4 linked regions of the Arabidopsis thaliana genome follow. The main gene of each other region encodes a partner of the protein of the gene in region 3 in a complex. Each region holds a gene or a part of one and is shown on either strand. Other genes may lie near its edges. The genes, in order: AT5G02850, AT5G63480, MED31 and AT1G15770.

The links.
Region 1: MED31 (region 3) and AT5G02850 share a complex: the UniProt entries of both Arabidopsis thaliana proteins name them as parts of the mediator complex.
Region 2: MED31 (region 3) and AT5G63480 share a complex: the UniProt entries of both Arabidopsis thaliana proteins name them as parts of the mediator complex.
Region 4: MED31 (region 3) and AT1G15770 share a complex: the UniProt entries of both Arabidopsis thaliana proteins name them as parts of the mediator complex.

Annotation. Positions count from the first base shown.
Region 1 is NC_003076.8:649,332-654,544, forward strand, and holds AT5G02850 (hydroxyproline-rich glycoprotein family protein), read left to right. Parts: upstream 1-2,716; 5' UTR 2,717-2,827; coding exon 2,828-4,108; 3' UTR 4,109-4,432; downstream 4,433-5,213. Other genes in the region: LCL1 (LHY/CCA1-like 1), read left to right, coding at 273-330, 424-547, 631-789, 899-1,024, 1,103-1,212, 1,530-1,589, 1,831-1,881; AT5G02860 (Pentatricopeptide repeat (PPR) superfamily protein), read left to right, coding at 4,771-5,213. UniProt on the Arabidopsis thaliana protein: Component of the Mediator complex, a coactivator involved in the regulated transcription of nearly all RNA polymerase II-dependent genes.
Region 2 is NC_003076.8:25,415,683-25,420,259, forward strand, and holds AT5G63480 (mediator of RNA polymerase II transcription subunit), read left to right. Parts: upstream 1-1,566; 5' UTR 1,567-1,634; coding exon 1,635-2,012; intron 2,013-2,266; coding exon 2,267-2,359; intron 2,360-2,692; coding exon 2,693-2,791; 3' UTR 2,792-2,953; downstream 2,954-4,577. Other genes in the region: NF-YC4 (nuclear factor Y, subunit C4), read right to left, coding at 650-1,402; AT5G63490 (CBS / octicosapeptide/Phox/Bemp1 (PB1) domains-containing protein), read right to left, coding at 3,034-3,225, 3,363-3,452, 3,551-3,636, 3,718-3,833, 3,938-4,047, 4,156-4,214, 4,305-4,410, 4,538-4,577. UniProt on the Arabidopsis thaliana protein: Component of the Mediator complex, a coactivator involved in the regulated transcription of nearly all RNA polymerase II-dependent genes.
Region 3 is NC_003076.8:6,730,312-6,735,388, reverse strand, and holds MED31 (SOH1 family protein), read left to right. Parts: upstream 1-2,398; 5' UTR 2,399-2,567; coding exon 2,568-2,617; intron 2,618-2,696; coding exon 2,697-2,794; intron 2,795-2,918; coding exon 2,919-3,015; intron 3,016-3,109; coding exon 3,110-3,188; intron 3,189-3,253; coding exon 3,254-3,343; intron 3,344-3,521; coding exon 3,522-3,775; intron 3,776-3,892; coding exon 3,893-3,905; 3' UTR 3,906-4,153; downstream 4,154-5,077. Other genes in the region: AT5G19920 (Transducin/WD40 repeat-like superfamily protein), read left to right, coding at 130-174, 548-713, 995-1,365, 1,449-1,767. UniProt on the Arabidopsis thaliana protein: Component of the Mediator complex, a coactivator involved in the regulated transcription of nearly all RNA polymerase II-dependent genes.
Region 4 is NC_003070.9:5,425,683-5,430,577, forward strand, and holds AT1G15770 (mediator of RNA polymerase II transcription subunit), read right to left. Parts: upstream 2,599-4,895; 5' UTR 2,534-2,598; coding exon 2,447-2,533; intron 2,124-2,446; coding exon 1,614-2,123; intron 1,495-1,613; coding exon 1,210-1,494; 3' UTR 1,026-1,209; downstream 1-1,025. Other genes in the region: AT1G15760 (Sterile alpha motif (SAM) domain-containing protein), read left to right, coding at 32-640; AT1G15772 (mediator of RNA polymerase II transcription subunit), read right to left, coding at 3,019-3,252, 3,336-3,410, 3,503-3,550; NRB4 (mediator of RNA polymerase II transcription subunit 15a-like protein), read right to left, coding at 4,840-4,895. UniProt on the Arabidopsis thaliana protein: Component of the Mediator complex, a coactivator involved in the regulated transcription of nearly all RNA polymerase II-dependent genes.

The sequences.
Region 1 (5,213 bases), 6.1 Mb from region 3:
CTGGTTTCTGCATAAATAGTGGTATTTTGCAGAAGTCGTATCTTTCTTTATTAAAAATGTTTAACATGAGAACTGAAAAAACTTACTACAAGTCAGCTTTTAGAGCTATGCATGAAACCAATTTCCAACTACAGTCCTAAACTACAATTCAGATTTTGGTAATGGTTCGTTACTTCCACATATTACATTGCTCTTTTGTGTGTGTGAAAGGCTTCTCTCTCTTTTAGAAAAAAGAATCTTACTTTGTCCTGACAATTTTCTCGTGTCCTTAGGTTTGATCGTGACTGGAAAAAGATAGAAGATTTTGTTGGTTCAAAGACAGTTATTCAGGTTTGAGATCAGCTTCTTTGGATTTTTGGTTTAATATACAACCTTGGCACATTTCCCCACTCAATCATCCTGTGCCTGTTTGATTTACTGCAGATCAGGAGCCATGCCCAAAAATACTTTCTAAAGGTCCAAAAAAATGGGACTTTAGCACATGTTCCACCCCCTAGGCCTAAGCGCAAAGCTGCTCATCCATATCCTCAAAAGGCATCGAAAAATGGTTAGTTCTATTGTAATAGATATTACTTTGGGTTGACAGATGGAGTAACATGTAATCAATCTGATTTCAACTCAAATCTGCAGCTCAAATGTCGCTTCACGTTTCCATGTCCTTTCCTACTCAAATAAATAACCTGCCTGGATATACTCCATGGGATGATGATACATCTGCATTGTTAAACATTGCTGTAAGTGGGGTTATTCCACCAGAAGATGAACTTGATACTCTTTGTGGAGCAGAAGGCATGCGTTCTCATCTGTACTCAGTTTTTATATTTTGCTTTGGTAGTCTAGTCACTCTATCTTCTGAAGTTTTCATATGCTAAATGCGGCTTACATATCATTGTTTCAGTTGATGTTGGATCAAATGACATGATAAGTGAAACTAGTCCTTCAGCATCTGGTATCGGAAGCTCAAGCAGAACACTATCAGATTCTAAGGGTTTGAGACTGGCGAAACAAGCTCCCTCAATGCATGGTAATTATCTGAACAATTGAGGGACTATTTCTTAGTTTTCATTTTGTGGTGGACGCTGTTGTAATGGTTGCTTTGCAGGTCTTCCTGATTTTGCTGAGGTTTATAACTTCATTGGGAGTGTGTTCGATCCTGACAGCAAAGGCCGCATGAAAAAGCTCAAGGAAATGGATCCTATAAATTTCGAAACTGTGAGTTGGAGCTTTACTTGCCTTTAGATTAACTGATATGTGTGTTGCAGCATATCAATCATTTAGTCTTCTTCTTTGAGTTCCCGAATAAATTCAGCTGTGTGAGAAGATAAATATAAAGATCAGTACTTGCAATATATAGATTCACGAGTTGGAAACACCAAAAAGCCAAAGTACCATGATTCTATGGAGATGTTGGTCAAATAATGGGATTGTTACAACCATGAGTCAGTTTTAGGTGTCATGGTACCTATTTGTAGCTGTCAGTGATTGTTCTTTTTCCTAGTATCCGTCACTAATCACAGTTTTTCTTGCAGGTTTTGCTGTTGATGAGAAACCTCACAGTGAACTTGTCAAACCCTGACTTTGAACCTACTGTAAGTTATAATTTTATCATTACTTCTGTGCTCGTTGAGTATGTGAGGCACATTTGTCTTTTCGTGATAAGAATGAGTGAGAAAAAGTCTCTAACAGCTAACAAACCTACTTACTATCTGCCTTGAAGTTTAACTATAGAAATTAAGACTAGTTCGCCTTTAGTGTGTTATGTTTTTAACCGTTCCAATGATTAAATGAGGATTGTTGTGCTCTATGAGATATAATCTAACCATAATTTAGTCTGAATATGTTGATGCTGCAGAGGAAGGTCATGAACACTTAAGCTCTTAGCTGTTTGTGCACTCAACAAGTTATATATCTTCTTGACGACTTCTTGCTCGCAACAACTCTCTACCAGCTATCAAGTAAGTTTGGTGTTATACCGCATCCCTCCGACACCAATATAAAACACTATAATAAGAACGTTCGCATTGACTTAATAGATTATATCGAAACCTAACACCACAGTTCACTAAGGTTTTCACCTTAATGTTTCTCATTTGTTACTGTAGTTATTGTCTCACATGATCGAACGTCATAATAAGAATGATCTGTAGATCATAACTGTTATATTCTCAGCGTTGCTGCTATTATTCTGATTACACTACCCTTAAGGTCTTAAGAATATTGCTCTTACGGTCTACCAAATTGCTATTGATCTCTGTATATGGTGGATTGTGTCAGATGCATTCTACGGTTGTTGTCTGAGGAGAACATAACTGAGTCGTCGTCACAAACAAGAGGAACATATGCAGTTTCGGTCAGAACCAGTCGTGTGAATGGTAGATATATGTATGTGTGTGTAGAAAATGGTTACCAATTGTATCTTCTTTTTGATAATTATTTTTTCATGCCTTTTGTAATATGTAAGTTTCTTTACCTCGTTCTCTGATTGGTTATTTTCTGGTTATCTGTTTAACCAAAAGCTATGTAACACAGTAGCAAATTGTTACTTAACTCGGAAGTGAGATACATAACTCTGTTGTATTGCACTTGTATCAAGCGTTAACGTCCATGATTCGTCTCTGTTATTGTCAATAACAATTGTTCGAAAGCCAGGTTAATGGTAATTAGGAAATTGAACCGTATCGGTATGGTTTTAGCGGGTCTTTAGACTTTTCTAATTGATACTGAGGGTTTGCGAATTTTGTATAAACAGTTGAACACTAAACAGAGAAGAGAAGCTTCGTCTCTTTAATTATCTTCGATTTAAGAGATTCTTTCGCCGTCGGCGAAGATGCTACAGCATCAGATCGTACAATCTCCGGCGAGATTAGGGTTAACAGGTCCTGGCTCTCCTTCCGTACAAAATCCGACGCCTACTCGTCATGGCCATCCAACCTCTTCTTCATCTTCCCAATCTCAGCACCAACAGATCCAACAACAGCCTAATCTACTTCCTTCCTCCACCGTCGCCGCCGCTTCCTCAGCCTCAGCTTCGGCGGCTGTTTCATCCTCCGCCTTGCTATCGCTCCTTCCTCCATTACCGCGAGCTCAAGCTCTTCTCCAGCAGATGGCGGTTTTGACATCTAAGCTCTTCGACGTCTCTCCCAATCGAGCTATCTGGCTCTCAGCTTTCCGTGGCTCTCTCCCTTCGTTCCTCTCCTCACACTCGTTACCACCTCCGCCGCCGCTTGAAAACCCTAGTCCTTCATCCACGAAGGAGATCCTCTCTCAATTCAATTCCCTCCAGACTCAGCTCTTCGAAGCCGTTACAGAGCTTCAAGAGATCCTCGATCTGCAAGACGCGAAGCAGAAGGTGGCGCGTGAGATCAAATCCAAAGATTCATCTCTTCTCGCTTTCGCTAACAAACTCAAGGATGCAGAACGTGTTCTCGATATGCTTGTTGACGACTACTCCGATTACCGCAAACCAAAACGAAGCAAAATTGAAGAAGATGACGAAGACAATGATAATGAGTCTTCTTCTTCTTCAACCACAGTTTCGTCTCAGCTCAAGTTAAAGGACATATTAGCTTACGCTCACAAGATTAGCTACACCACATTTGCTCCGCCGGAATTCGGTGCAGGGCAAGCACCTCTCCGTGGTGCATTACCACCAGCTCCACAAGACGAACAAATGAGAGCTTCCCAGCTCTACACTTTCGCTGATCTTGATATCGGTCTGCCGAAAACAGTAGAAAACATGGAGAAGAAGGTTGAAGCACTGATTGAGCCACCACCACCACCAGAAGCTATGGATATATCTGCTATTCACAACCTGCTTCCGCCGAATATCGCAGTTCCTTCAGGATGGAAACCAGGAATGCCAGTCGAATTGCCTAGAGATTTACCATTGCCACCTCCTGGATGGAAACCAGGCGACCCAGTTGTGTTACCGCCACTGGAGTCAATTGCTGCACCTAGAGCAGAGGATCATCAACATATGAGACCTTCTCAGGGACTCCACAGACCGCCTGATGTCATACAGGTCCGAGCTGTTCAACTTGACATTTTGGAGGATGATGATAGCAGTGATTACAGCAGCGATGATGCAAGCTCAGATGATGAGGATTAATCAACATTGTGATTGATGGTTCTCTGTAAGGTAATGATTTGACCAATGTTACTGCTAATTCTTGATCAAGTTTGATTTTCTACTTGGTTTCGTTTTGTTTAGCAGTGCCTTTATGTGGATAGATGTTAGTATATGCTTCATCGTTATCAGTATCTTTGATGTATCAAAGTTGTTTCTTACGAAAACCCTGGATTCTAATTCAGTTTACAGAATTATTGGTTATCTTTTTTCCAGAATCATTCTTTAGCTTCAAATTTCAAATTATTAGTAAAATTCAGAATGTTCAACTATTGGAGTTATGCAACTTGACATTTTGGATCGATCTCTCTATACGACAAAGTAAAATCCCTCTTAGGTCATACATACATATCAGAGGCTCTTTCTGCCCATTTCTTTATTGTACAGTTTATTGTTCCATTTGGGCTTCTAATAATATAATGGGTTGACAAAATAAGTAGTAGCCCATTTAGATCTAACCTGTTGAATCTGGACTAGCCACGTGGTCGAATATAATTGTAGGGAAATAAAACTAAAATTGTGTTCTTGGAACAAAAAAATATAATAAAAAAAATCTGACAAAAATATCCATTCATTTCTCTTCTTCTTTCACTCTCGGTTGCCTCCTGGTTCTTTTCTAGTTTCTACTACTACTACTACCTCTAATGGCGGACAAGCTAGCTCTTCCTCTTCTCCTTCCCTGCACTCCTTCCTCTAAACCTTATTCTCACGACCAAAACCACCATATCTCTCGGACGCCTTTTCTTACTACGTCTCTTTCGTCACCACCTCCTCCGCCTGTAGAGCCTCTCCTCCACGATGTTTTCCTTCACCAGAACCCTAATTCCAGACAACCCATCAGCTCTCAAACATCTAGAAACCGTAACCGGACTCGAATTGGCAAGTCACGTGACCCTAACCTCGGTAAACCTTGGTCTTACCATGGTCTTTCTCCACAAGGTCAGCAAGTTCTTCGTTCCCTCATCGAACCCAATTTTGATTCCGGTCAATTAGATTCTGTACTCTCTGAGCTATTCGAGCCTTTTAAGGATAAACCAGAGTCTACCTCGTCGGAGTTACTAGCTTTTCTTAAAGGATTAGGATTTCA
Region 2 (4,577 bases), about 19 Mb from region 3:
AGTAAGAAGTTATTATAAGAGACAGAGAACTCAAAGCTACTACAAGCCATGAAATACAAACTCAATATGCCATACATAAGCTCTGATCATTACTAGATTAGGAGCAAGAATCAACAAAAATACAAAGCATAGATTAGAATCTGCACATTTAGATTAATATATAGTTAAGCAAGTCTGCAGTTTTGCTGCAATAACTTATAAGTTAACAGGAAAAATGAAAAAGAGCTTTTTTGTTTTGTTTTGTTTGATCTCTCTCTCTCTCTCGAGTAAGTCATTCGAATCATAGACATATAAGAATCAGACACTTGCAGGGTCGAAATGATGATTAAATCTCTAAGCTTCTGGTTCCATAGCTCAACTGCACAACATTGTACAAATAATCAAAGGTGTGAGTCAAATCAAATAATGGATATCAAAATTGTGTATTTTACAAAGTTTTGTTTATGAATCTAAAGAAATGAGCCAGATGATACTGTAAATTGAGCTTCTTTGATATTATCAATTTTTAGCTTATTTGATGAGAATCAATGAAGATGACACAGAGCAGCAAATTCCTCTAAGACTAATCAAAGCAAGCTCATGAAGAATCTCAATAACCATAGATAATCAATTGCAACAAGCTACATTGCTGAATATTACTAGAATTCACTTACCCTTGGCTATCGAGATTACCATGGCCGCTACTTCCTCCACTTCCATAAGACACATCATCACCACCACCAGCTGAATTCTGCCAAACGCTTTGCCATGCCTGAGAAGGAGGCTGAGCATAAACACCGCTAGGATCCATCGCCGGTCTTCCAATCATCATCCCTCCAGGAACCGCCGGTTGTCCCATCGGTGGATAATAATAAGGAACACCGCTCGCGGCGGGAGCAACCATACCTCCTCCACCAAGAGCCGATGCTGCATCTTCCTCTTCCTTGATCTCTTCCCTAGGAACAATATCAACAAGGAAATCGAAGATATCGGTTCTAGTAATCGCAGCAGCGATATCGTTTTTCTGAAGCGTACGACGTTTGTTCTCTTCAGCGTGAAGCCAAGATCTAATCGTAAGTTCGAGAATGAAAAGCTCACAAGCTTTCGCGAAGAGAATCGGTGCTTCGGCGGAGATCATACGCACATCTTCATCAGCTTTCATGATTTTTTTGATACGAGCTAGAGGGAGCTGATGGTTTTTGAAATCGTTTACCTGTTCGATCTCTTGTCTCTGGTATGTCCAGAACATTTGAAGCTGTTGCTGTTGTTGCTGGAGGAGGTGGTGGTATGTCGCTCCTCCTCCGGTGACTATTGATGCAGATCCAGATGGTGGAGGAGGGATTACGGTTGTGACGGCGGAGCCAGGTGGATAGACGGAGGTTGGTGGTGGTTGCTGGTTGTTGTTGTTGTTGTTATTGTCCATTGGATCTTTGCCTTGTGATTGGATCAAAAGATCAAACTAACGTTTTAGATAGTTTTTGTCATATGGATTGGAGTAATAGTGGATAAGGTAGACAGCGATGTAGCTGATTTCTTTCTATTTTTATTTATCTATAAAAACTATATTATTGATATATATATTATATAGTTTGATTAAAACGACATCGTATTAATAGTTTAGTCAACCGACGCCGTGATAAAGTGTGTTCACGGTGATGCTGCAGAAACAGGTCTCGACGACGACGACGATGACGACACAGGAGCTAGCGATGGAAGGAGAGAAGCAATTGGAAGAAACTATTGAAGCGGCGTTTCAGATAATTTCAGCCATGAATGATGAGCTTTGTAATCCGTCTTTGTGGTCTACTTCAGCTACCCCGAGTTCCGCCGCGACGACGACGGGTTCTAATGGTTCGGCTCTCGTTTCCGCCGATGCGGCTGCGATTGATGGAACATCGCATCATTCGGAATCTGCTGGTGGTGGCGGGGGCGGAGGAAGTGGAAATAGTGTTTTGGATGAGGCGAGTCTTCGGTATAAGAACTCAGTGACTTCGCTTCGTGCTGTTCTTGCTGCGATTCCAAATTCGCAGAAGGTATTGAACATAATGTGATGTTACTAACTATTTCGAGAAGTGTTTTGTTCTGAGTTGTTTCTGGACTGAGGAAATTTTGAATTCCTAGGGTGTTTTGAGATCTTAGATTAGGAAATCTTCGAATCGATAGAGAGTTTAGATGAAGGATCTAATGCTTGTTGAGTGTCTTGTTCTTCACTTGTAGTGAACTTGCTTAATTTTAAATGAGAGCTTTTTTGAGGTTTCATAAATTTGAATTTGTTCATCTATTACAGGCAAAAGCATCTGAAATGCAAAATGGTTTAGGATCTCCTGAAAGTGAAGACGAGATCGAAAAATTGGAGGAGCAAGCCTTAAGTCTCAGAATGGTAAAGCTTTCTGCAATTTCTACATCTCTTTGTTTTCAATCTGATGTTACTACATTGATACACTATTCAGTCTCGAATTCTCTGTACATTTCAACTCACATAGCATTGAATTTGATTCATATTTTCTTGTATAAAGTGTTCTTTCCCACTGTCTAGTGTAAGTGTTTGTATCATTATAGCTTAAGCGGTTCTAGAACCATGGAAATGTTGATAATTTTTTGAATACATTTCAGCCATCTGGTCATTTTGATTTCTATGTTAATAACCTTATGGGAAGTGATTATATTGTTCTTCTCTGTTGGCATTAATAAACGGAAGCTTTTGTTCATGCAGGAGATTGCAAAGAAGAATGTTCATGTTAAAGAACTTATAGATAAACTTCGGGAACTTATAGCAGATATCTCTACATGGCAAAGCCCTTGTTCTGTTTGAGTTTTATTTTTTTGACAATAGTGAGATCAGTTTAGACAAAGATTCTAAGCCTTGTTCTTGAATTACTCCATGTATTAGTTTTAGATATTTGTTATTTTGATATCATGAAGCCAAAAAAATAATCAAAAATGACTTTTGTATATAAAAATATTTCAGACAAAACCTTCAAACCCTGTGTCTGTTTTTCTTTTTTGTTTGTATTGATCTGTTAAAGAAACACTTCTTGTAGTGTTTCTGAGGAATCAATGACCGAATTTTCTGAGAAAAGCCATAAAACCAAGACCAGCTACTAATGCTGCACCAGCCGCAACTCCACTATAAGCAGCAGCCCAAGCGTCTGTCTCTACATACTCCATTGATTCTGCTGATCCTGATGCTCTTCTCCTTCTTCTTCCTTTGCCTTCTCTTGAATCATCCAAATGTAATCTCAGACTCTGCAATTTATAATGATCAAATCAATTCAGAAAGCAAAAGGGGTTTATGGGCAATCTCATGAAGGTTTCATCTTCGACTTTGGTTCTTGTTGCTTATCAACCAAAAGTTTAAAGCAGGAGGAAATCGTTCTTTTTACCTTCCAGCCAATTGATTTTGCATGCTCTATGGCTGCTTGAAGGTCACTATCTGAAGCCAACAACACTTTATCGTGGTCTTCATCTTCATACTGCACATTATAACCATCATTTTAACAATTCAGGGGGTGACAAGAGAAGAATTAGATAATGATTGCATCATAGTCTTTATGTAAAAGAAAATATTTACCAAAATTTGGGGGAAGTTATCTGGATCGATATCATCCCCTACCCTCTGAATGATCGCGGTTATCACCTCTGTCAAACTCCGAGTGTCTGCAAAAAGAACCAATTCAGTTAAGTAAAAGCAAGACTACAACTATTTACTTGATGAATAAAAATCAAAATTATTTTTACCGCTTATGAATCTGTGTTTCCTGTGCTTTTTGTCTTCAATTTTGAAAGAAAATGTATTTGCAAAAGGGAAAGATTTTCCTGTCTCAGCTTCGGAAGCAACCTTCATGGAGCTCTCACTGAAACAAATTGTTCCCCATGTTGTCAACAAAGTCAGCAAAACCAAAGCTTTCTTTGAAAAGAAACTCGATAAATAGTGGAACAAGTAAGACTAGCTAATAACCTTCTCGAGTCCTCATCGTCCTCATTAGGAGACAATGCCATAGCTGAATCCCAAAACTTTTGCATCATTGTGTTTGTCGCCTCATTACCTATTCCCGCAGTAGTTCCAGCCTGAACACATCAAAATAACTACAAGATTGAAACATGTATCTAGAAAAAAGAGAACAGTGGATGTTCTAAACGAAAAAATTTACAGACGGTTCAAGAGATGGGAGTTACTGTGGCAACAGCAGCGTGAGTGACATGGATTACATCGACAACAGCAACTACATCTCCTTCTGCAATCAGAAACCCATTTATGGTTTACATGCGTTTGCCTTTTTAGTTTTTGTAAGACTTTACAATTGAAAAGGTTTCAGAATTCTCACCTTTGTCAGTAACGGGAAGGTGTAAGAATTTTCCCTCGTGCATGATGTGTAGAGCTTCAACAATTGGTGTGTCAACTATCGTAGATTCTGGATTCTGAGTCATAACCTATGCATTAATGAATACGAACAAATGGTTAAATTCAGGAAAAAGGAGCAACTATCACTAAGCTGGAAATAAGAGTCTAAGATGGTTGAATAATACAAGACCCTGGAGACTAATCTTTTAATCTTACCGTTTCCACTAGAGTCTCAGATGGAGGAAGATTTTCAGCC
Region 3 (5,077 bases):
ATATGCATAAGAGGGAATCATGGAACCAAGAAAGTCATTGGTCAATTAGCTAACCTAATATACTCTCGACTCATGTGCTTAATCTTTTTCTTTTCCCTCTCTTGATTTTGGTTTTTGGTTATGCTTCAGTGCATTGGATGGGGCTGTTCATTTCTGGAAGCTTCAGTCTGATAGGTAAGTCTCCTGTAAATATGCCTGATCTACTGATTATGATATTTCTTTCTGATTTCTTGGGGGTTTAAATGGTTTTAGGAGGGGTTATTGGATTATTCAACTTCAAATCCATATAGAATTCCTTGATTTTCATATGTATCAGAAATTTTAATTATGTATTTCTAGTTCCAGTTGACATCACCTTCATCCATCCACGTGATAAGTAGGCGAAATTTAGTTTCACTTATATTTGTCAACAAGCTGCAACGTTTAGTTGTACATGATCTTAAGAGATAGAGTTTTGTACAATTTTTTCTACTCTTATTTTCGTGAACATTTTAATCTGAATTTCGTTGGATACTAACCTATCCATCATGCTTTCACCATTGAGCAGGTCCACCGCTACTTTGTTTAAGACGGTTAATCGGGTAGCAGTAGATCAGAAGAAATGGGCAGAAGATATAGCTTGGCATCCACATAAGAATGCACTTTTCTCCGTGTATACTGCAGATGATGGTCACCCTCAGATATCAGCCATATATCTGAATGAAGCTGGAGAGGTAAAAGTATATGAATGCTGTAGCACATTCTAGCGTTTTACCATATTAAATTTGCGATTGGACATTCATGAGTGGAGTGTGTGCTTAAACTTGTAGAAAGTTAACTTGGTCTTCATAACCTGTTAGAAAGAAAAAAATCAATATAGCTGGAATAATTGGGAATTTGATTCGACCCTTGACTTATCTACTAGTTGTAAGATCTAACTTGATGGTTATAGTCTTTTATCCTTGGGGAAGTTAGTTATGTGCTCATTTCTTTTTGGATATCTGTTCATCTGCAGAGATGTGAGTCGCAATTTATGGAGGACAGGCCTCATAGCAAAGGTCTTATCAACAGAATCATGTTTACGCCTTGGGATGATCCTTGCTTCATCACAGGTGGGAGTGACCATGCAGTAGTGTTATGGCGGGATCAGTGTGAGAATAATGCGTGGAAGCCGACGCTTCTGCATAGGGACTTGCATTCGTCGGCTGTGATGGGAGTTACTGGAATGCGCCATAACAATCACGTCTTGTCATGTGGAGACGATAGGAGATTTGTTGGGTTTGATGCCCGAGAAGAAAAAGTCACATTTAAACATAGACTAGACAACAGATGCACAAATATAATGCCAAACCCGCGAGATGTTAATCTTGTCATGGTTAACACGAGGTAAAACTGACTCTTGATTTATATATATCCCAGAAGAAGCGATTGCCTTAAAGTCCGTTCTTTTGCTTGTGTTGTGTTTGCAGGCAGCTAGACCGGCAACTGCGGTTGTATGATGTTAGATTGCCTCAGACAGAACTATTTTCTTTTGGGTGGAAGCAAGAAAGCAGTGAATCGCAGTCGGCTCTAATTAATCAGTCTTGGTCTCCAGATGGTTTACACATCTCATCTGGTTCTGCAGACCCCGTGATCCACATCTTTGATATCCGATACAATGCACCGAGCCCGTCTCTCTCGATGAAAGCTCATAAGAAAAGAGTGTTCAAAGCCGAGTGGCACTCTTCTTATCCGCTGCTCGTCTCCATCTCATCAGATTTAGCAATTGGGATTCACAAGCTATGGTGAAAACTTGTAAAGCCATCACCTGAATTTGAAGGCCATTAACTTCTGAAACAGAACTTGTCTTGGCAAGTTGGCACAAGGTGTTGATTGGCAAGTAAGAACTGAGTACAGCACGCAGGCTGGATACGAAAACTGTCTTGGGAGTTGCATAGGTCAGTCCAGGGTCTGATGGCTCTTGTCTTTTGATTTTTTTTTTTAACTGTGGGAAACTCTAGCTTTTTAGCTGTCACATTTTGCGGGGATTACAACATTACAATGTACAGTATACATTTTTGAGGGCCAACTCATTGGAGCCAAATGTCCTCAGATTTTCTGTCTGCTATAATCCTCAACCATAGTTAGCATGACAAAGAGTTGCAACATCTATATCGATTGGTCACAAAAAAACTTTTGTATGATTGCATAAAGATTCCGGTCCATGTTTCAAAATTCAAGATTTGTCCTTGTGATTCATAATCTTGAGATAAGTAAGAAAGAGATTCATAACATGACTAAAAATGCCACCAAGTGAATCTTTGAATGTAAAGTAACTCCAAGTTTGGGCAGAGACTTCTCCATCTGCTACCGAGTATAACGGTTCTTTTAAGACCGCTTCTTGTGGAAAAAAAAAAAAAAAGACCGCTTCTTAAACCGTAATTTTGTACTAATTTTCCAATCTCTTTTTCTATTTGCATTCAGAACCGGTTTAGGCCTTTGGTTTATAACCAAAATTCAATTCAGAAATCAGAACCAAAATCCTCCGTCTACCTCCGTCTGATTCCTCTATTGGGAGAATCCAAATTTGCTTCAGGTTCCGTTCGTTCATGGCTTCGCCAGAGGAGATGGGTGATGATGCATCAGAAATTCCATCCCCGTGAGTGCATCTTCTTCCTCTTGTACACTTTCATATTCTTCAAATCTGCTCTTTTATTATCTAATTCGCATCTCTACAGGCCAAAAAACACTTACAAGGATCCCGACGGTGGAAGGCAACGATTCTTACTGGAACTTGAATTTATTCAATGTCTCGCCAATCCTACTTACATCCACTGTAAGTTTAGAATTCGTTCTATGGCTTAGGGTTTTAGTGTTCGAAATTGAGATTTAAAAAGGGATTTGTTCTAAGGCTTAGGGTTTGTACTTACCACATTCTGCTTTTGGTTACTGTTTGGCAGACCTGGCACAGAATCGGTATTTTGAAGATGAAGCATTTATTGGATACTTGAAGTATCTTCAATACTGGCAGCGACCAGAGTACATCAAGTTCATTATGTAAGTTGGAATATCTTATGGAATTGGTGTAGTCTTGTAGAGTCTTGTGAAGGTTTGGATAATATATCTTTGGTTTCCTATGTTCTTGTTACAGGTACCCACACTGCCTATATTTCCTTGAACTTCTTCAAAACCCCAACTTCAGGACTGCTATGGCTCATCCTGCAAACAAGGTACAAGAATACGATATGAATCATCAAGTGAAATCAGCATGTTAGTGAGCATTGTGAATAGGGAGTGGTTCAAAATGTTAGGGTACTGGTGTTTTTGGAATGTGTTTTGGGGACTTGTAGAGTTTAGGGTCTCTCTAGTACAAAACCTTGCTTACGTTCTGCTAGTTTGGTTCTGTGATTCTGCGTTTATGCCCATCTATTCATGAGATAGAGAAAGTTGTTTAATATTCTAAACTTTATGTCCTTTGTCAGAATTTCTTATAGGAAATCTATTGTTGTTGAAGTTTTCTTAAGTTTTGAACTTTGTCTTCGGTTGAATCTGGATTTTTCCAGGAATTGGCGCATAGACAACAGTTTTACTATTGGAAGAACTACAGAAACAACAGACTGAAGCACATTCTACCTCGGCCTCTTCCAGAGCCTGTACCTCCACAACCACCAGTTGCACCTTCAACTTCTTTGCCACCTGCACCATCTGCAACTGCTGCTCTCTCTCCAGCCCTTTCTCCAATGCAGTACAATAATATGCTTTCTAAGAATGACACTAGGAATATGGGTGCTACTGGAATTGATCGTAGGAAGAGAAAGTATGTGCTCCTTTCTTCTTCTTGATAATGATGACCATTTTGTGTGTGTTTTTAAGATGACTGCAAATGTGTTACGAAAAAAAGCAACACTCTAATATGTGAGTCATATAATGTCAGGAAGGGTATATAAGCATTTCCTGCCCTGAAGCATACACCATGGCGTCAGTCGTCAGATATGGTTTCCTCCATGTCCTAGGAGGGAAGCCTACTTGACTCAGGTTACAAAAATGTTGGAAACTCGGTATTACTCATTCCGTGTCATAGGCCGTTTATGGAAGTTGTCATATATGGTGTTCAATCTTTGTCTATGATATACAACAACCCCCAATCAGTATCAGTCTTTATCTTTGTTCCTATCGATCTTGACAATTGCAACACTTTATTTTTTTTGAGAAGCTTAGAAGCAATAGGAAAAATTATGGGAATGCCAAACATTTGTCCTTGGCAGAGATTGCTTCTGCCGGTAAAACATTAATTAGGAGTGGGGTTTCCATGTTGCACTTGTTGGTGGAAATTGTACGAAATGACTCTTTGACGTATCTTTGACAACAGTTAGAAGACCCAAACATGACAGAGTGTGCTATGGACCATGGTATACGAAACTTGATATGTGATGAAACTCGTATAACGTAACTCACGGTTCAAGAAAGGAGAAGAAAATAGCATAACTCAAGGATATGAATAAAAGAAGAACATGAACACTTATGGATTAGAAATGACTTTGATACCTTAAAATGTTGAGATTCTTCTCCATTGAATGATTAATTATAGGGAGGTTTGTTAATATAGTCCAAATTTTGGGGCTAATGTGTGATTGCAATCAAAACCAAATTTTGGAAATAGTCCACTTTTCTCTAAAATTATAATTAAAATACCATCATCAAGAGAAAAAAAGAGGCAAAAAACATAGTTACCTAAAGTAGAACGTCCAAATATGAATTTTGATATTAAAGTTAAATTAACTTTAGCAGAAAAAGGTTGAATAATATTTTGCCAAATTATCAAGTGATTAGGTTTATGATTTAAAATATTTCTAACTAATAATAATAATAATATCAAAGAAAACCGTAACCGACTCTACCCTTTAAATATAAACATAATCTCAGCCGTCGGTTTAAACGTGTCGCATCTCCATCGTTGATTAGGACTTGGCATCTTTTCGTCGCCTCTATTTAAAGAATCTCATCATCTCTTCTGCCGTTCGTACACAGAGGTTCTCTTTGCCTTTAATTTATTTTTCTTCTGCCCAAACCAAAAAAAAAAAGTTTCCAGATCCAAAATTACAACAAAGATTCTCAAACT
Region 4 (4,895 bases), on a different chromosome or scaffold from region 3:
CACAAACACAAACAAACATAAACCTTCTTCAATGGAAGATTGGTGGTTTTCATGGCTCTCTAGAACAAACCTTGAACCTTCTCTCATCCACGAATACGGCCTCTCCTTCTCTCAGAACGAGCTCGAACACGAAGACATTTCTTACTTCGACCACGAATTTCTCCAGAGCATGGGAATCTCTATCGCCAAACACCGTCTCGAGATTCTCAAACTCGCTCGTCGAGATCGCAAGAACTCTCCTCCTCTCACCTCTCGTTCCATCTCCAGAGTCGTGACTGCGATTAAGAAAACCAGGAAATGTTTATCCGATCACGTACGCGCCTGGATCCGCCGTGAAGAAGAGTCGGCGTCGTCTCGAGCTCTGGTGTTGGTGCCGAAGAAGACTAGCAACGGGATTGGGAAGTGGAGAGGTGGATTCCTGAAGAGGAACAAGAGATCTGTGATGCCGAGCAATGGAAATGGTGGATTGGAGAAGCAAGAGAGGTTGTTGTTGACCAATGGGACTCCTTGTAGAATCGATAGCTTCTCAAGTCCCATGGTTTTCGATTACAGTTTCAAGGATGAGAAACTTTACGCTCAAGATACTTATTTTGAAGATATCAAATGGGATTCAATGTTTCAGAATCTCAAACCTACTTAGAAAAATCTCTAAGTTCTGTTTTATGTTTTCTCTTTCAGCTTCTTCTTCGTTCTTTATATCAGAATTGATGGTGAGAGATGAGGTTTTAGGGTTCTTCCACCATGTTTTCTTGATTTTGTCTTTGTATGTGATTAGGCTAGTTAATTTTTGTTAGTTAACAATTGGAAAATAGAGTTGAGTGGTGGTGTCAGGTGTGTATGTGAGTGTGTGGGGTCATTGTAATGAGTCTGTCTCTCCAGTCTTTGCTTTTGGCCTAAGTCTCTGTTCCAGTCAAAACTTCTTTACAGCTTTTATCACTTTTTACTCTTTTCTCAAAAAATGCTCTGTTTACACACATAACCATGACGCTAAGCCTGCCGGAGTGATCTTACTCTTGAGGTAATCGGAAAGATCTTGAGCTCAGGACACTACACAGTCTACACTAGAGCACACAAAACATTGTGCTTCCAAATTTTATCTGTTGTGTGTGTGTCAATTTTCAGATATACCTAAGGGAAGTGTAACTGAAAACCATACCTCAGTTCTTGGCTTCTTGCCACCACAAGTCACAGTAGATTCCATATCTGATGTTACCAAACCAGCAAAATGCTTGTAGCTATTACCAACGCTTTCCTCCCAATGAAGCAACACTTGATGGCATTGGGGTTGTCTGACGCTTCCTTTTCATGGTCGCCATCTTGCGTCATGAAGTTTCTTTCTTGGAGATGGCACTTAGTCATTGCAACCAAGTCCACACCAAATGAAGCTCTTGAACCTTTGCCTGGTACTGAACCAGCAATCCTATCAACCATGCTTACAACAGATCTAATATCACATACTGCAGACGAAAGCGCTTGTGGTGAGATGGATTTCATCTGAAAACAACAGAAAGCAAACATCAAGATCAGAACAATGTTTCCACGGCAAATGAGGGATGGCAGCAATGACACTGCCCTGTTGCAATATACCCTTCAAAATTAGTAACGTTACTTACGGCTCTAATAAGGCGTTCAATAGGCAGCTCAGTAGCACTCGATTTTCCACAAGTACTTGTCAAAGGATTTATAATATTTCCATCAGGACTGGTAAGCTCCGGAAGGAGAGGAGAGGCAGAGATCCCTGGAGTGCCAATTTCAAGGGATTGAAGTACACCTTGCCTGATCTGTTGTACCCTTGACCCAGCACCCTGCATGCTCATTGATTGCATCTGCAGAGTTGTTTGGTCATCATGAGACTGATCTTGAACTGTCTGAGATAGTGGTTGCTGCATAGGCTGAATCTCAGATTTCGTAAGCTGCAGTTTCTGTACTGTCTTCCTCAGACTCTGCATATTTAAGAAATTCATAATGTTGTTCTTGCGATAATCCATACTATCCTTCAAGTCAGGTTTGATATTGCTCTTTGAAAGAGATAGGAAACGTAGCATTCCCTCCAACACTGTCTTGCCTCGTTTCAATTTCTCAAACTGATCTGATCTTTGTTTCTGATGCGAAAGAGAATCCTCCTAGAGAGAAAACGGAACGTATTCAGTAGAAAAGAAACAAACATATAGATGAACGTTAAAAGTTTACAACCTCTGTAGGTTTGGGAAGGAATATATCTGTCAGAAGGTTAACTTCTAGTGAACTATCTGTAAGTATAAGAGTCTGACGAACCTTTTACTTTGTTAAATGGGTAACAAGAATCCTAAGTTGTAGGACTTTCATTTGTAACAATGAACTGATCTTGCATTGAATTTGTAAAACTCTTCATAAAGTACTTAGTACTGTTCCAGAGGACGTACACGTGCAAACTAACTTCCTAGGAAGAATGAAAACTGTAACTTACTTGCTGCAACTTGGCTGCTACTCTCTGGTAGATTTCATTGAGGTCTCTTTGATGGATTTGATCTACAAAGAAAAGCAATATAATCATACATACGATTACTCATCATGGTGATATCATCTAGTAACAGAGAGATGATCCTGCTAGTAACAAAGGAATAATCTGGTTGTCGTAGTAATCTTTCAAGTAAGGCATGACATTGCTTCTTTGAAACAGATAGGAATTGTATCATTCTTCGCTCCAACATTGCCTTCAATCTCTCAAATTGCTTTAATCTCTGTTGATGGGTAAAAGAATTCTGCATGAATTCAATAAGAAACCAAACCCTACCCTACTAGTTGACGGAACACTAAAGCACCCACCAAAAACACACCTAATCTCCGAGAAATTAACATTTACAAAAAAAAAAAGGGTCTTTATTCATTTTTCGATCATAACTTGATAGGAGGAGCCTGGTAGAAACAGAGCACCGGAGTCAACAACATTGAGGATGAGAGTTCAAAACACATCAGAAGAGAGAAGACCAACATAAAAAGAGAGAGAGACAAAATATCTACAATGCATTTCCTTGATTATTATGAGACTGATCTTGAAGCTGCCTTTGCTGTACTGTCTTCCCAGCCGGTTCTTAGCGTAATTAAGAAATATATAATCCGTTTCTCATAATAGTCCCATCTACAATCCTTTAATATCGGCATGATATTTCTCTTTCGAAGAGATAGGACTTGGATCAATTGCTCTATGTTTGTCTTCATGCTTTGGAACTTGTCAAAGTGCTTTGATCTTTGTTGCTGCGGAAGCGATTCCTCCTGAAAAAAACAAACAAACTAGTATTACTACATCTATACAACTTAAGGCAGAGAGTTAATAGTTGACAGTAACTACATCTTACATGGTTCAACTTGTCTGCAAGTCTCTGGTAAACATCAGTCACATGTGGTAGATAACGCTCTCTCATGGATCTAAGCTGTATAAACAATTACACACCACAATGAATGATCCCGATGATGATTTAAGAAAGGAGTTTTATTATTATGATGATTATGACTTATGAGTTACCTTTTGGAAAACCTCCTCCCGCCAATCATCTCCATTTTCATTTTCCATTGTATCTACTATCTAGTGTTGCTAGCCAAGAAAAATAATTAAAAAGCGAGATTCATTCATCATCAGAAACTGTGTAAAAAAAAATACAAAAACCTAAAATTAGAGGTACACAAGTATCATCAATCCATAAAACTAGTTTCTTATGCAAAAGGTTTTGCTATCGACGAATCCATGGGTTTACTATGACACGTAATGAGATAGGTGACTCAAAATAAGGACCTTTTGGCGATGAATCTCCGAGACTTAGAACGGTCCGTTTGGATTTGGTTTTTCTCCAAACGTTCTTACGTTTCAATCTTTCTTTTAATAAGTGAAACGTAGCAATTAGGGTTAAGGAGAAGAATTAGAGATGATTGTTTTTGTTTTAATCATCTTTTGATTTTATAGAGAAACAAACAAGAGAGAGCTAAATACAAGGATTAAAAGGCTTCAACAACATTACAATATCAGGTTATTAAGCGAGGCCCAATGACCCAATAATAAGTACTTATCAGGCCCAAGTCTCTTCTGCAAATAATAAGTTTTTTGGAGTTTTTTTAAGTTTTCTATTTCACACAGTAAAGGCTAAAAATCGAGTAAAGAGACTTGTAGAAAAACCAGTGAAATCTCCGGCTATTTGTGTGACCAAAATGTTAATTATAGTCATTAACTAAATAAATCTCGTTCATGTACTAATTTGTATAGACAATTACACACCACACTGATCACTCCTTGTATCTTCTAACTTGATGACTTTATGATGATAAATCATCAATAATTACAATAAAAAAGTTAGCCATTTGGTATATACAAAAAAAAAAAAATGTTTCAAACAGCCATTTTATTGTGACAACTGAACAGAGTAAAGAAGTTGAAACTCTTCTGAACGATCTCAAAATGCGTATTACAACAAATCTCAAAATACAACATTCAGCAAGACCCCAAAAAAGGGGTAATTGCACTTCAGAATTAGAAGAAAATGACGAATATACTAACAAGATTCACAAAATACATACAATAAAGTTAAAATAATATTATTTAAATATATTCAATAATATAGCATAAGCTTTTGCAAACAGATAACAAAAAATCCCAATCACGTGTGTGGGAAAACAACTTATACTATACAACAAAAAGTGAGGAAAAAACTTTTTGGCTTTTTTTCTTTAGTTTTGACATGAACCTGCAAGTGAATCACAGAGCTGCTATTGAAGACGAGAGAGATCCGTCAGATTCAGGAAGCTGCTACATATTTCTCCCAAGTGCCGTATTTTGAGCTGAAAGTTCCACCGCCAAATTGCTGTGCGTACTCACAGATCACTGCCCGAGCACAGGCGTCCCATGTCTTGGCTATGTCTTTGAGCGA